Linked DNA regions of Arabidopsis thaliana. The protein of the gene in region 2 interacts with the protein of the main gene of each other region in a pairwise test. Each region holds a gene or a part of one and is shown on either strand. Other genes may lie near its edges.

Evidence for each region. The genes of interacting proteins can lie anywhere in the genome.
Region 1: the proteins of PP2CA (region 2) and AT3G56270 interact in binary tests that used the Arabidopsis thaliana proteins (3 or more experiments, as listed by UniProt).
Region 3: the proteins of PP2CA (region 2) and RCAR3 interact in a two-hybrid assay, tested with the Arabidopsis thaliana proteins (3 studies listed by BioGRID).

The regions. Positions count from the first base shown.
Region 1 is NC_003074.8:20,868,355-20,872,608, reverse strand, and holds AT3G56270 (WEB family protein (DUF827)), read right to left. Parts: upstream 2,610-4,254; 5' UTR 2,390-2,609; coding exon 2,189-2,389; intron 1,895-2,188; coding exon 755-1,894; 3' UTR 502-754; downstream 1-501. Other genes in the region: AT3G56260 (uncharacterized protein), read left to right, coding at 3,817-4,254.
Region 2 is NC_003074.8:3,583,227-3,587,427, forward strand, and holds PP2CA (protein phosphatase 2CA), read right to left. Parts: upstream 2,625-4,201; 5' UTR 2,424-2,624; coding exon 1,980-2,423; intron 1,895-1,979; coding exon 1,559-1,894; intron 1,467-1,558; coding exon 1,361-1,466; intron 1,269-1,360; coding exon 955-1,268; 3' UTR 556-954; downstream 1-555. UniProt on the Arabidopsis thaliana protein: Major negative regulator of abscisic acid (ABA) responses during seed germination and cold acclimation. Confers insensitivity to ABA.
Region 3 is NC_003076.8:21,558,819-21,563,210, forward strand, and holds RCAR3 (regulatory components of ABA receptor 3), read left to right. Parts: upstream 1-1,782; 5' UTR 1,783-2,207; coding exon 2,208-2,345; intron 2,346-2,626; coding exon 2,627-2,842; coding exon of another isoform or gene 2,843-2,922; coding exon 2,923-3,135; 3' UTR 3,136-3,891; downstream 3,892-4,392. Other genes in the region: FTSH11 (FTSH protease 11), read right to left, coding at 4,205-4,354. UniProt on the Arabidopsis thaliana protein: Receptor for abscisic acid (ABA) required for ABA-mediated responses such as stomatal closure and germination inhibition.

The sequences.
Region 1 (4,254 bases), about 17 Mb from region 2:
ACTTGGAAAAGAGTAGCCCACGTGTTGGGAGTGGCACATTTTAGCCTGAGACAATGATTTTGCTAACCCACGCCACTCTTACTTTTCAACTTTATTTTTTAATTATTTATTTATTTAGTTCCTTTTCCTTCTTTTGGTTTCGTTTGGTCCCACGCTCTAAGCCAATACGAGGATTCCAGACGAAATCTTTGTTGTGAAGACTAAAACACGTGGCATTAAGTTATTGGAGATATCTAGATTGTCTTAAAAGCCTTGACCACGTCATCATTCTGTATCTGACCACTCCAAACTTATACAGTATAAAGTACAAACTGGTCAAATCGTAAAATGTGTTTTTATCTCCGTAGTTCAACCTGAATGTTTCAGTTTCTATTTTGAGAATCTAGAAACATTATAAAGACCAACGTTATTAAAAAATAAACAGTTGAGGACCTACGGTATTGATTATGGATCACCTAATTAGCTAATCTAACACTTAAAATGCATTAGTTAAGAAAGTGCCCACCACCTAAATCATATGATCAATGCCCTTCACTAACTCCCATAATTAATTATGATTACTAGAAGCTTTAGTTTTTACTATAATGTTTTTCTTTTTGTCACATTTGAGTCAAAACAACACATCTCACTCTAATCATCTGTGTTTTGCTTTTGATGGAAGCAACAACACCCATCAATGATCAAACCAAGAATAAAAAAAAACAGGAATCGAAATGTGCAAAACATGTTTTCAAAGGTTGGGTATTTTTTTAGCTTACTCTGTTTTTCTAATGGAAGCTTGATGTGTTTGTATGAACCTAAACTTTCTCCTCGGCGTGACCAACTGTTTCTCATCTTTTCGGTTAAGAGCATTACCCATTGAGACGTTACGTTTCAGCATTGGCTCAGGGAGATCGATCAGTGGCTCGTGCTGATTGATATGGCTCAAGAAAGAGCGCTGAGGAAAGCTTTCTCTTTTCATCGAGCGTTTTGCTCCAACAGCTTTCTGGTCTTTCCATGACTCTATGTTCCACTGCCGAAATGCCTCTTCTGCTTCAAGTTGCTTCACACTAGCGATTTCTACCCGGTTTAACGCAACTTCCAAGGCTTGTTTACTTTGTTTAACTTCTTCGTTAGCTTCCTCCAGCTTCCTCAAGATCTCTATTCTTGAGACATTGGTGGATAATTCTTTGTTCATCTGTGCTTTAAGTGTTAATGGAAAACATGGTGTCTTAGGGAAGCAGAGAGCGTCTTGGTTTCTTCTGCTGGATAATATGGTCATTTCAGCAAGCGCAAGTGCTTCCGCTGCTCTTGCTGCCTCTTCCATTTTTCTTGCAGCAACCAATCTCATATCTGCAGTTCTCGGGCAGGTTTTGCTCTGTTTATGGAAAGCTGTATCATAGGTTTCAACTACCATCTTAATCTGTTCACATTGTGGATTCACTGGTAAATTCTCGGTATTGAATCTCTCTACTTGATCAGGACCTGCTGGTTTAAACTTCAAACTGTTAAGTTCCTCCGCTAGAGACGCTACTCCAAGGACATCTTTCTCTTCCTTCGTTTTCATATTCAGAGATTCAGCATAAGAGTGGATCAACGCAAGATCATCCATGGTTTTACAAAGATTCATACCAGCTTGCTTCATTTCCATGGTCATCAGATCCGGAGACTTCAGGGGATTACGATGGCAGTGCTCATCGACCATCTCTTTGGAGTGTGAACGCAAATGTTGAGGGGTCTCCTTGCATCTCAGTGCTTGCTGCTGAAGCTGCCACTTCAAATCTTCAAAAATCCTTTTGGTTGATCCAAGAGCTTCAAGAAGATCCAGAGTCTCTAACTCTTTCATAATCAGATCCTTCTCAAGCTCCACTGTCTGTTCTTCCATTCTCTTTATGTCAAATTCTCCCACACAGTCCTGAAGAATGACAAACCAAAAAAACATAAAACAAATCATGCTATATAATACCAAAAAAAAATCTTACATAACATCTTGCTAGTTCCAGAATCAATTGCCGCAAATGCAAACATCAAATTAGCTATCACTTATTACAAAATATCTACTCAGTAACCAAATCGAATCAGCTATCAGTTATTCAGTTTGTTAGCATACTTAACAGTTAGAGAACATACATTTCAAACTTTCAGTGACATTAATGCTCAAACTTTAAATGAACAGACTTTGTAAATCGGAAACTAGAAGAGAACTCACGTAATTGTCTTCAAGATTGAAGGGAACCCAGAACCCACGACCACCATATAACTGTGGAGAAATGTCGATTTCAGCTCTCAAGCATCCTCTCCTTGTATTCTCCGGGTTGAAATTCTCGGACCCGGTTCCGGTTCTCACTTCCCGGATTACGGGTGTACCGGGAATCGTCTCCGCCGCAGGGCTCTGTTGCCTCTCCGCCATTTCCGTTAGCTCGAGAACGAATTGGTTTGTACAAGTGAAAGGGAAAGATAATGAAAGAGTGATCTATTTACAGTAATCATAGTTACTGATCAGAAGCAAACAAGATTGAGAGCTTCTCTATGATTGTGTTTTTCTCGGTAATGAAAGTCACTCACGAGAGAGACTCGAAGAACAAGAATGCAGGCTTTGATGATGCTACTACTAATGGCTGTGGCGACGTGGCTTCTATTGATTGGTTATCTGATTAATTAATAAATGAAAATTTTGGGCCGTTGATTAAGGAAGCGATATTGGGCCGTTGGTACGAAGTTCAAGTTCGTCTATATTGGGCTTTTTTGTGAAGGAAATTCTTACGTATGTGTTGTTTGTTTCTGTTCAAATACGAATATCCGAAAATTGTTATAATTTTCCCGTGCGATATTAGTGTATAGTAAATGTATGAGTGAAATAAATAGGTGGAGCTTTCCCTTATAGTTTTCTAACCAATTTGTGTGGCCATCACATTAAAGCAAAATCCGAGTAGGAGAAAACGGACCACGTACGAATACGATTGGAAACGACCATTAAATTATACGACCTCCCTCACTCAACCGTCCAAATTCATCACCGTCGTCTTTCGATCTCTCACGTTTCTATTTATTTCTCCGCATACGTTTCTTCCAACTAATTAGAACCGACAAATATATATATCTTTTCTAATTACTATTGTTGGGAGTTACCAGTTAGCACTTGACATTGGTACGTATTCAGATGGTTTGGTCTGACACTCTGAGTAGTTCCCTATTATATCCTATCTAAATTATCATTTCATTAAATGTAAACCATTATATCTTTTGGATGAACATGCCCCAAACTTTTGGTCAGTAGTTTCAAATTACGACAAACAAGGTTAGTAGTCTTGATATATATTAAAACGTGTGGATTTGTTGGTCAATAATTATTTCCTTAATTATAAGAACACCAAATAAAAAGGTTTATAGAGTGGAATCCCACAAAAGGTAACATATTAAATACTCTAAGCAATGCTTACTACAGTAACTGTTTACCAATAATGTGATCCTCACCTCACGACTCTCTTATTATTAATGAAAACGCATTAAGTAATGCATACAGTAAGATAGCCACCTTTCATTTATTATCTAACCAATTTTTTCCCCTATGTATGATCTTCCATATACTTGTAATATGCTCATCCATATGAATTTTTCCTAAAGAAAATAAAAAAGCAGAATAAATATCCACGATTATATACAACCGTGCAAAGAAGATTCTTTTGTTTCATCGGCAAACTTGTTTTACTCGCAATACATATTACTCTTTGTCACCTCTAAAGAAGCTTCGAAACTAGCACTTGTTGTTTCAATTTTCGTACATCAATTCTCATCAAAAGCCGACTCAAACATAAACCGAGAGTTTATAAAAAACAGATGTCAGAAAGACTAGAAGATGACTTTGCAATCGATGAAGAGAGATCCTCCTACTATGGCGGAGCCTCCATACCATTCATATGGGAGTCAAGGCCAGGAACACCCAAAAACCACCTCTGCTCCGATTCCTCTCTTCCTCTGCCTCTCACACCGCCGCCCTCATACTACTCCTCCGGGATTTTGTCGACACCAAGGACGCAAAGCAAGGTGAGATCAAAACTAAGTAAGTTTCTGTCCTTCTCCATGTTCAGTGATCTCAGGAGGAGCAATCACGGTAGCAAGAAGACGGCAAGCTCATCGTTTTCTTGGTCTTCTACGTCATCTTCATCTTCCTTTTCCTCCTCGCCACCACATTCTTTGAAAAAACGTATGAGTCACGACAAAAAATCGCCACTTCTGTACGCTAACTACGAAGAGGATGAGCTTAGGTCTTCACCA
Region 2 (4,201 bases):
AACGTATGATTAATACCTAACAAACATTAATGTGAAGGGTTTATAAAAACATGATTGAATAGAATAAGATTTTATTATCTGGTCATTGTGGCAACTGGCAAGTGGCTAGTAATGGACGGTTAAAAGTATGTATTATTTTTTGTTCAAGTTGATATTAATTTATTTATAAAAGAATGTGAAGATCATATTCCTTTTTCTTACCCTCCTAGTTGATATTTTCTAGTCAATTTAATCAAAATCTGTTTAATTGATTATTGATTCCGACCTTAACTGACATTAAGCATTCGACAATGTTGCCAGACAAGTCTCTTAACTTAACTATCTTCATTAGTATTAAAAGAATTAATAAATCATTGTACTTTCTAGTTCTTATATTGATTGTCCAGATTAGTCTCTTCCACCAAGATATATATATATTTTTGTTGATTTATGTTTCTAATATTATCCTTGAATCTTTTAATTACAATTATGTGCTAAAATGCCGCGGTCTACGACACGCGAGTCTCCCATACGACCCCATACCAATAAAATAAATAAAATCTTCTTAAGATAGGGGAAGATTAGTAAGTAACCGGTTTGGATTCAAATCATCGTCGAGACTCATACTAAACCAGTTCGGATCGAATAACATTAACCGAAGTTTTAAAATGGTAAATACGCATAATCTGTTCTTTCATTTTAACATTTTTCCCCTCTGAATTAGATTATTACATTTCCAACGACCATACTAAAAGAATACATGTATAATATTACCTGAATAGAAAAATAAGAAAAATACTCAAACTATTTAATCAGCTCTTTTTCTTCCCCAGCCTGAATTAAGAGCTAACTAAAATAGAAAAGAAAAAACACCTTAAAATGAGAAAAACTAAAATAGAAAAATAAAAAGAATACAATTACAATTAGGCTATGTAACAATTATTCTAATACTACTACTAATTATAACACTAATTATTAAGACGACGCTTGATTATTCCTCCTCTTCCTCAAGTCAACCACAACGACGCTCACGTTATCGGAGCTCTGTCTTGCTAGAGCCAACTTTGTTAAGAGCAACGCCGCATCGGAGCACGCATTGTGCGCCGCATCTGAGTCGTCACCCGCACCAGCACCTCGAAGGCACATGCGAGCCACGCCACACGCCGTCTCGTTTGGTACAACATCCCATAGTCCATCACTCGCCAAGATCAAACACTCATCCTCATCAGTTCGATCCGTCACTGTTACCTCCGGATCCGGAATCACATACGGTTTCAAGTAATTATCACCTATACAAACAAAAACAATAATCATCAGATTAAATTCAAACGTGTAATTCAAAATAGCCTAAAAAGTCAAATCACAAGAGAGATTCACTCACCAATTGCTCTAGACATGGCAAGAACTCCAAGAACCCTAGCTCCATCCCAATATATAACTCGCCCACCAGCTTGTTGGATCCGAATCAATTCATCGGGTCGATCCGGCTGTTCATCACAAAACAAAAACTCTTAGAACCATGCCATCTTGATTCATACTAACCAATTCGTAATTCTATATAAGACATAATTTTAACTACCTTGTGATCTACGGAGAGAGGAATGGCTACACCGTTACGACAAAGCACAGCCCGTGAATCACCGCAATTAGAAACAATGATCTTCTCCGGCGTGACAACCGATACAACAGCGGTGGATCCGACGGCGTCACACTGAGGAGACTGCAATTCACATCTACAAGAATTTTTCATACTCCGAGTAGCACCATTAACAACTAAGTTACACTCTCGTTGGCTAACTTCTTTATCCATTTTTTGAAAACTCTTAACCATCGTCTCTGTCCACTCGTCGGAAGCCATAACTTCAACTTCCTTCTTCACTATATCATGCAACCGTTCTCTGCACTTCTCCGCAACCTAAAATCAACCAAACAAAACCCTAATTAGTAACTAATCACAAACAAAAGAAAAAAATATTACTAAACAGAGGAAATTAACGTACATGAGAGCAGCCATGGCCGTCAAAGACACCGTAGAAATGATGATTCTCAGAGTTCCGTTGAAGAAACGAAGGATGAATCGAGACAGCGTCTTCCATGTCTCGTCTTCTACCACAAACCGACGTCGTACCGATCTTAGGTACATCGGAAAAGAAACTCTCTGCTTCCGTAACAGAATTTGAATTCGTAACCGCTGATCTAGCCTTCTTATTCTCACTCCTCACATTCGAATCCAGATCTAGATTTCCCGGTAACGTCGAGAGCACTACTGTCTCACGCTTCTGCCGTTTACGGCAGTTTTCAAGCGGAGGAGCAACGGCGGAGTCAGCAACAATTTTGATCGACGGAAGTAGATCTAACCTCCGTCTAAGAGAAGCTCGAGAAGTTGAATCAACCGGTGCCGCCGGTTCAGTCTCTCCAACAACACCGCAACAAATCCCAGCCATTTGATCTCTAACAAAACTTCTCCAATTTACAGAGCAAACCAAAAACAAACAATCTCCGATTATGAGTCTTCTTCAACAATAGAGAGAGAGAGAGAGAGATATTAGTAGAGAGAGATTTTGTTGAGCGTTAGGAAATGCAATGTGATTTTAAAAAGAAAAGGTTTGATTTAAAAAGAAAAGTTGAAGAAGAACGCAAAAAAAAAAAAGGGTTTGATTTTCGCATGGAAGGGTTACACGTAATTAACGGGCAGGGGGGCATGAATAAGGGGAAGTTGCTGACCGTCAGCATCAACGGGCAGGATCCGACACGTACCGTTTGGTGTGACGTTCCATTTCCTGGTACCTAGATACAATCTAAACCGTCCATTCTTTCTTTTTTCCTAGATCTATACACGTGCCCTTTCTTTCTTTTGGATACGCCGTTAACGTGGCCCAATCACAGTTCGACACACCTTAACGGTAACGACCGGCCTTTCTTGACACGCATGTGGTCCACTCTTTCGTTTTGTTCTTTTTTTCTTTTATTTTGTTTCATTTAAATACGCTTAATACAGTATTATGCTGTTAATTAAGATTTAAATAAGTCAGAGGTCAAAATAATGGCCATGGGAGAGAGACAATCTTGTTATAAAATACTGGTTTTAATTATTTTGTCAACTTTTTTATAAATCAGAATAATCACTATGAGATTAATGTAATCGATAAAATCTCTGATAGTAGAAAATTATACAGTATGAGAAAATGTAAACCCCTTCTTTTTCTAGTTATGGAATCCTGAATGGTGAATACTCTGATAGTCTGATTGGTAATGCCAAACAGAATGATAGGTCAGCCCCACTACCCTTAAAACATATAAGAAAAATCTAGTAATATATACGATATGGTTCATATCATTTCACAAACCTAAGCAACATCAATAATACATTTGAATGTTTCCTGTGTTATTTTAAATATTGAACAAACCCGCTTCAATTTGTACAAAAGCGATGCCTCTGAACGTACTATCAAGTATAAATTTGCTTCTAAAATAACGCATCGTGAATCCGTTCCGTGATTACATATTAATCGAGGATATAATTGACATCCAAACTAAAGAAAATTTGCTTCAGAAATAACAATTTTGATCCTATTTGTACAAGAAATAACAAATATATATATCGTAAAAGGTTGATTGTATTGAATTGCCAAAGAGACTATTTGTACAAGAGATGTTGCCTAAAAGAAGATAGAAACGTATCTAACTGAATCTAGGAGAAGAGAAGATTAACATATATTCTAACTCTGATATTATTTCACACATGCAATTTGAAATGTTTAAACAATAAGAGTATATTTATGCTTGAAATTCTGAAATGCACATAAACGAAAATAAATTGGAAAATAGTTACGTGTATCTGATGAGTTCAAACCTCAGCATCAAACACTTCTTTTTTGGTTTTGAATAATTAAAGGTGGGCATTTGGGTTAAGTTCGGGTAAAACCCGATTAGATATGATTTTTTTGGATATAAAAGTTTAAGATTCAATGGGATAAATCCAAAATATCGGTTTGGTTTAAGTTTGTATCCAATCGGTTTTTAATCGGTTTGGATATAAATTTTCAGGGTCCTTTTAGAACCGATATCCGAATTTTTGAGTAAATACCTGAATTTTTGGATAAAATTTTAGATTTCGAATAAATTTAGATTTTCGAATAAAATACCGGTATTTTCGGATTCGACTTAGATTTTTTGGATTAAAAAATTTAGGATCCAATATAGTAAATCTTCGGGTTCAAGT
Region 3 (4,392 bases), on a different chromosome or scaffold from region 2:
ATTTTCGAGAATACTTTAGCACGTTACAAAGTTAGCAACGAATTTTCTTTTTCTAGATATGACTTATAAGAGCCAAACCTTTTTATGTTATAGAAATCTTTGTCACTTTGAGATACTTTTATTCAGGATTTAATAAAGAGTGTTGGATAAAGCACGTGGGACCTTTTGCTCTCTCGAGATTGGCTCTTCGAGTCAGGAAAAGTTAAGACTGTGAAGCAAACCCTATATATGATACTGTATACAATATATTTTTTGGATAAAGGATTGTGTAAATTAAATGATCAAACTATATACTTACTATTCTGGCCTTAGTGGTTATAAGATACTAATATTATACTGTAAATGATCAAAACAAGATACTATTGTCAGAATGCGAAAAAATAAAGCGAAGTCCAACTTAATAGTTTACGAACTTTTACTTCATATTATGAGTCGAATGAGAGTGAATACTGGAATTGGTGATGATGCAGAAAACCGGATTAGACGAAACAAAGAGAACATAATACAAATCATTGGTATGGAACTGACAAAACGTACGAAACAATCGATGTTAAATGGTTAGAATAAAATTTGGATGATAACCATAATAACTGCAGTGCATGTATAATCATTAAATTTTAGCTATTTTTAATACTTGGAATAATAGATGTTTACTATTTTTATCATATACCTAAAGAAGTTCTTGTAATTTGTACTTAGTACCTGATTTGTCGTTCTAATCCTAAAAAAAGATTTGGTCCTTTGTAGTTTGCTTCAAAGGCCCCGAATCTGCATTGATCATGGTCTGGCTCGGGGGTGTTAAGCACACTTTTAACTAGTGATTATATGTCTAATTGGGACATCAATATACCTCCATGCACCTAGTAATGTGACCATCCGTATAATATGTGTACTATCTCTTCTTCAGCTAAAGGTTAACGAGCATAATCTGGTTAAGCCCTATGTTTGGTTTGCATTATAACAATCTCTCTGAAATTTTGTAGTATTTTCATCAATTTAAATTAGTATATTTTCGACAATTTGAATTGTTCTTTGAGTCTGATCACAGTCAAGTACACGAACTATATGCTGATCTGATCGAATTCATTCTACTATATACACACACATACACAAACATTTTACAGTACACCACTAATACTATAATCCCAATAACAAGAAAACCTAAAATATAAGTACACATTAACAAAAGAAAACAGTTTGCAAGTTATTAAGTGGTTTTTGGATTTGGTTTATAGTTTTTAGATTTTTGCATTAATTATATATATATATATATATATATATATATATATATATATATATATATATATTTGAAACTAAATATGAAAAAGTTATAGCGTTAAAAAGTGAAAAACCAATGAAACATAGATTTTAGATTTCCTTTAAAAATCTAGATTCCTTATTTTTATAAGGAAAACCATTTCTCCCAATCTTAATTGGCTATAAAGTAGATTTTTGGAAAAAACTTAAGCCATAAACAATTTCAAAAAATCTATAACCATTTCAAAATCTTTAATCCTTTTTTTTTTTTGTCAAAACAAGTCTTTTATCCAAATGAAAAAGCACCCAAGAAAAAAAAAAAAAAAACTATCCAATAATTGAGTCAGCTCTCATAGGCTTAAACAATACTTTAAGGATCAACATTAAATAATTACCACACTTGAGGGGTAAAACTAAAAACGGTAAATAAAACACAGAAAAACGACAACGAGGGGCAAAATCGAAAATAAAGAGAAAATAGTGGGATAATAGAAGAAAGCATCCAATGAGAGTAGTGAAATCAGAGAAAGACCTTTACTCCTTTAGTCCAATACCATCCAATCAATCTTTTTCTTTTTTTTTATAAAAATCTCTCACTGAGTCTTTTTATTTAAATATTATAAAAAGGAGAGAGAAAAAAAGTTTGTTGGAGGATTCGTCTCTCTCTCTCTCTCTTTCTCTTTCTCTCATCTTCTTCTTATCTCCCTCCAAAGACGGCGACTGTATAATCTATCATTTCTTCACAGTAACGCTTTCATCGGAAGATCTCGCCGGAAAAAAACTTCTCTCTGAGATCAGATCTCTTACGATTCTCAGCTCAATCTTATCTTTTCCTTTGTTGTGCTGCTTTTCACTCTCTTCTGCGCGACGAATTTGGCCTTGTTTTTTGTTTGTTTGTCGTATCCGACGCGGAGGTATTGAGAAACCGTGGCTTAAGACGGAGGAAGAAGATGGAAGCTAACGGGATTGAGAACTTGACGAATCCGAATCAGGAAAGAGAGTTTATAAGGAGACATCATAAGCATGAGCTTGTGGATAATCAGTGTAGCTCTACGCTTGTTAAACATATCAACGCTCCTGTTCATATTGTAAGCTTCTCCCTTCTTCTTCTTCCTTCATGCGCTCTGATTTTCTCTGTTTAAGTTAATCGGTTCTTCTTATTGTTGATTCAATCCAGAATTTGAAATCTCTCTCTATTTTCATCGATTGTTGATCTTACTGATGAAGAATCGATTGGTTTCTAATTATTGAAAGCTTACATAGCATTTGTGTAATCCCAATCTGAGTTTGTTTGATCTGGTTTTGCTTTATTGGAAAAAAAAGCTCCCAAAAACGCTTATGGATTAGTTTGAATCTCTCTGGTGAATAGGTGTGGTCACTTGTGAGAAGATTTGATCAGCCACAGAAGTATAAGCCGTTTATCAGTAGATGTGTGGTGAAAGGAAACATGGAGATTGGTACAGTAAGAGAAGTTGATGTGAAATCTGGACTACCAGCAACTAGAAGCACTGAGAGATTGGAGTTACTTGATGACAATGAGCATATTCTCAGTATCAGAATCGTTGGTGGTGATCATAGACTTAAGGTAATCAATGAATCAAAAGGTTCGTTTTCTGTTTACAGTGAATCAAAGACTTATATGTTCTATATTGTTTTTGGATTTAGAACTATTCTTCAATCATCTCTCTTCACCCCGAGACTATAGAAGGAAGAATAGGAACACTTGTGATTGAGTCATTTGTGGTTGATGTACCAGAAGGAAACACAAAGGATGAGACTTGTTACTTTGTTGAAGCTTTAATCAAATGCAATCTTAAATCTTTAGCTGATATCTCTGAACGTCTTGCGGTTCAAGACACGACAGAATCGAGAGTCTAAAGATCAAAGGAGTAAGAAACTATTGAATCAGAGAGATTTTGGTTGCCATGGATGAAGCTCTCAAAGGGAAAAAGAGAGAGTGGGTGAGTTTCTTTGAGGATGGACAAGGCAAAAAAAGTATCATCATTTATCCAGTTACATAATAAGTTTCTCATTTGCTATTTTTGGGGTCATTTCACTTTCAAACCCTCTTTTTAATTTCATGTGTCTAATTTAATGAATGTGTTTTTGGTTTCTTCTCTATAGAACCAAAATATGATTTTGGAGTTTAGCTTTAGCAACTTGCAGGAATCTTTTTACAATTTGCAGAGAAGACATGTTAAAAGTGTGTGTGATCATGGGGTTCCACTCTCTTCTTCCTTTTTTAACACTTTTAGTTGCACCCATAAAGGCCACACACCGTCTTTCTTATATTTATTTTTTCTACTTTTAAAGATGAACCAATAGGGTTTGTGAGATGTGAAAAATCTCCACAAAGGACCATTAAGGAAAGAGATCTTTGTTGTTGTTTATAGATTTTGTCTTGACTTGTGATTGGGGAAACACACTTTAGCTCCATTAGCTGTAAAAAGTTTTGTATACTATTTTTACAATGCCAAAGTGTTTCTGTTTCTTTTTTCCTAAATTACAGTAGTGGATAAATATTCGAATCGGTCACATTGACAGGTGGTATCATTAGAATTGCTTCTATATGTTTTCTTTCAATTTTGTTCCAAACAATACATGTAATTTCATCAGAGGACCTTGTAAGCTGCAATAAGATTCATTGGCTTTCAAAATCACATCAGAGAATAAAGACAACAATTATTACTTTCTTTTCAATGTTGTTTTACATTTTTCTTCATAGAATTGAACAGAATGTCAAAAAGGGCAAAAGGTTCAAGGTCGAAGCGAAAACTAATGAGCTAATGAAATAAAAACTACAATAATTTTGTAACATGAGATCAATAATTTCATATGTTTTTCTTTTGGTTGTTGTTGTAGAAGCTATGGGAGATTTACTCTGTACAAAGCTTTGAATCTCCCTTTTTCACCCAAAGAAGTGTGTTTATGGTAATGAATGATGTGATTAGGCCAATACCAAGTCTCCTTCTTCTTGTTGTTGCTCTTCAAATTTCTCGCCTTCCTGCTTTGGAAGGAGAATACGCTTTATGTCCTCTGCGGTTAGCGTTTCATACTCTAGAAGTGCGTTTGCTAACGTGTGTAGCTGCTTCTCATGCTGGGGAAACACACACACACACACACACACACACACAC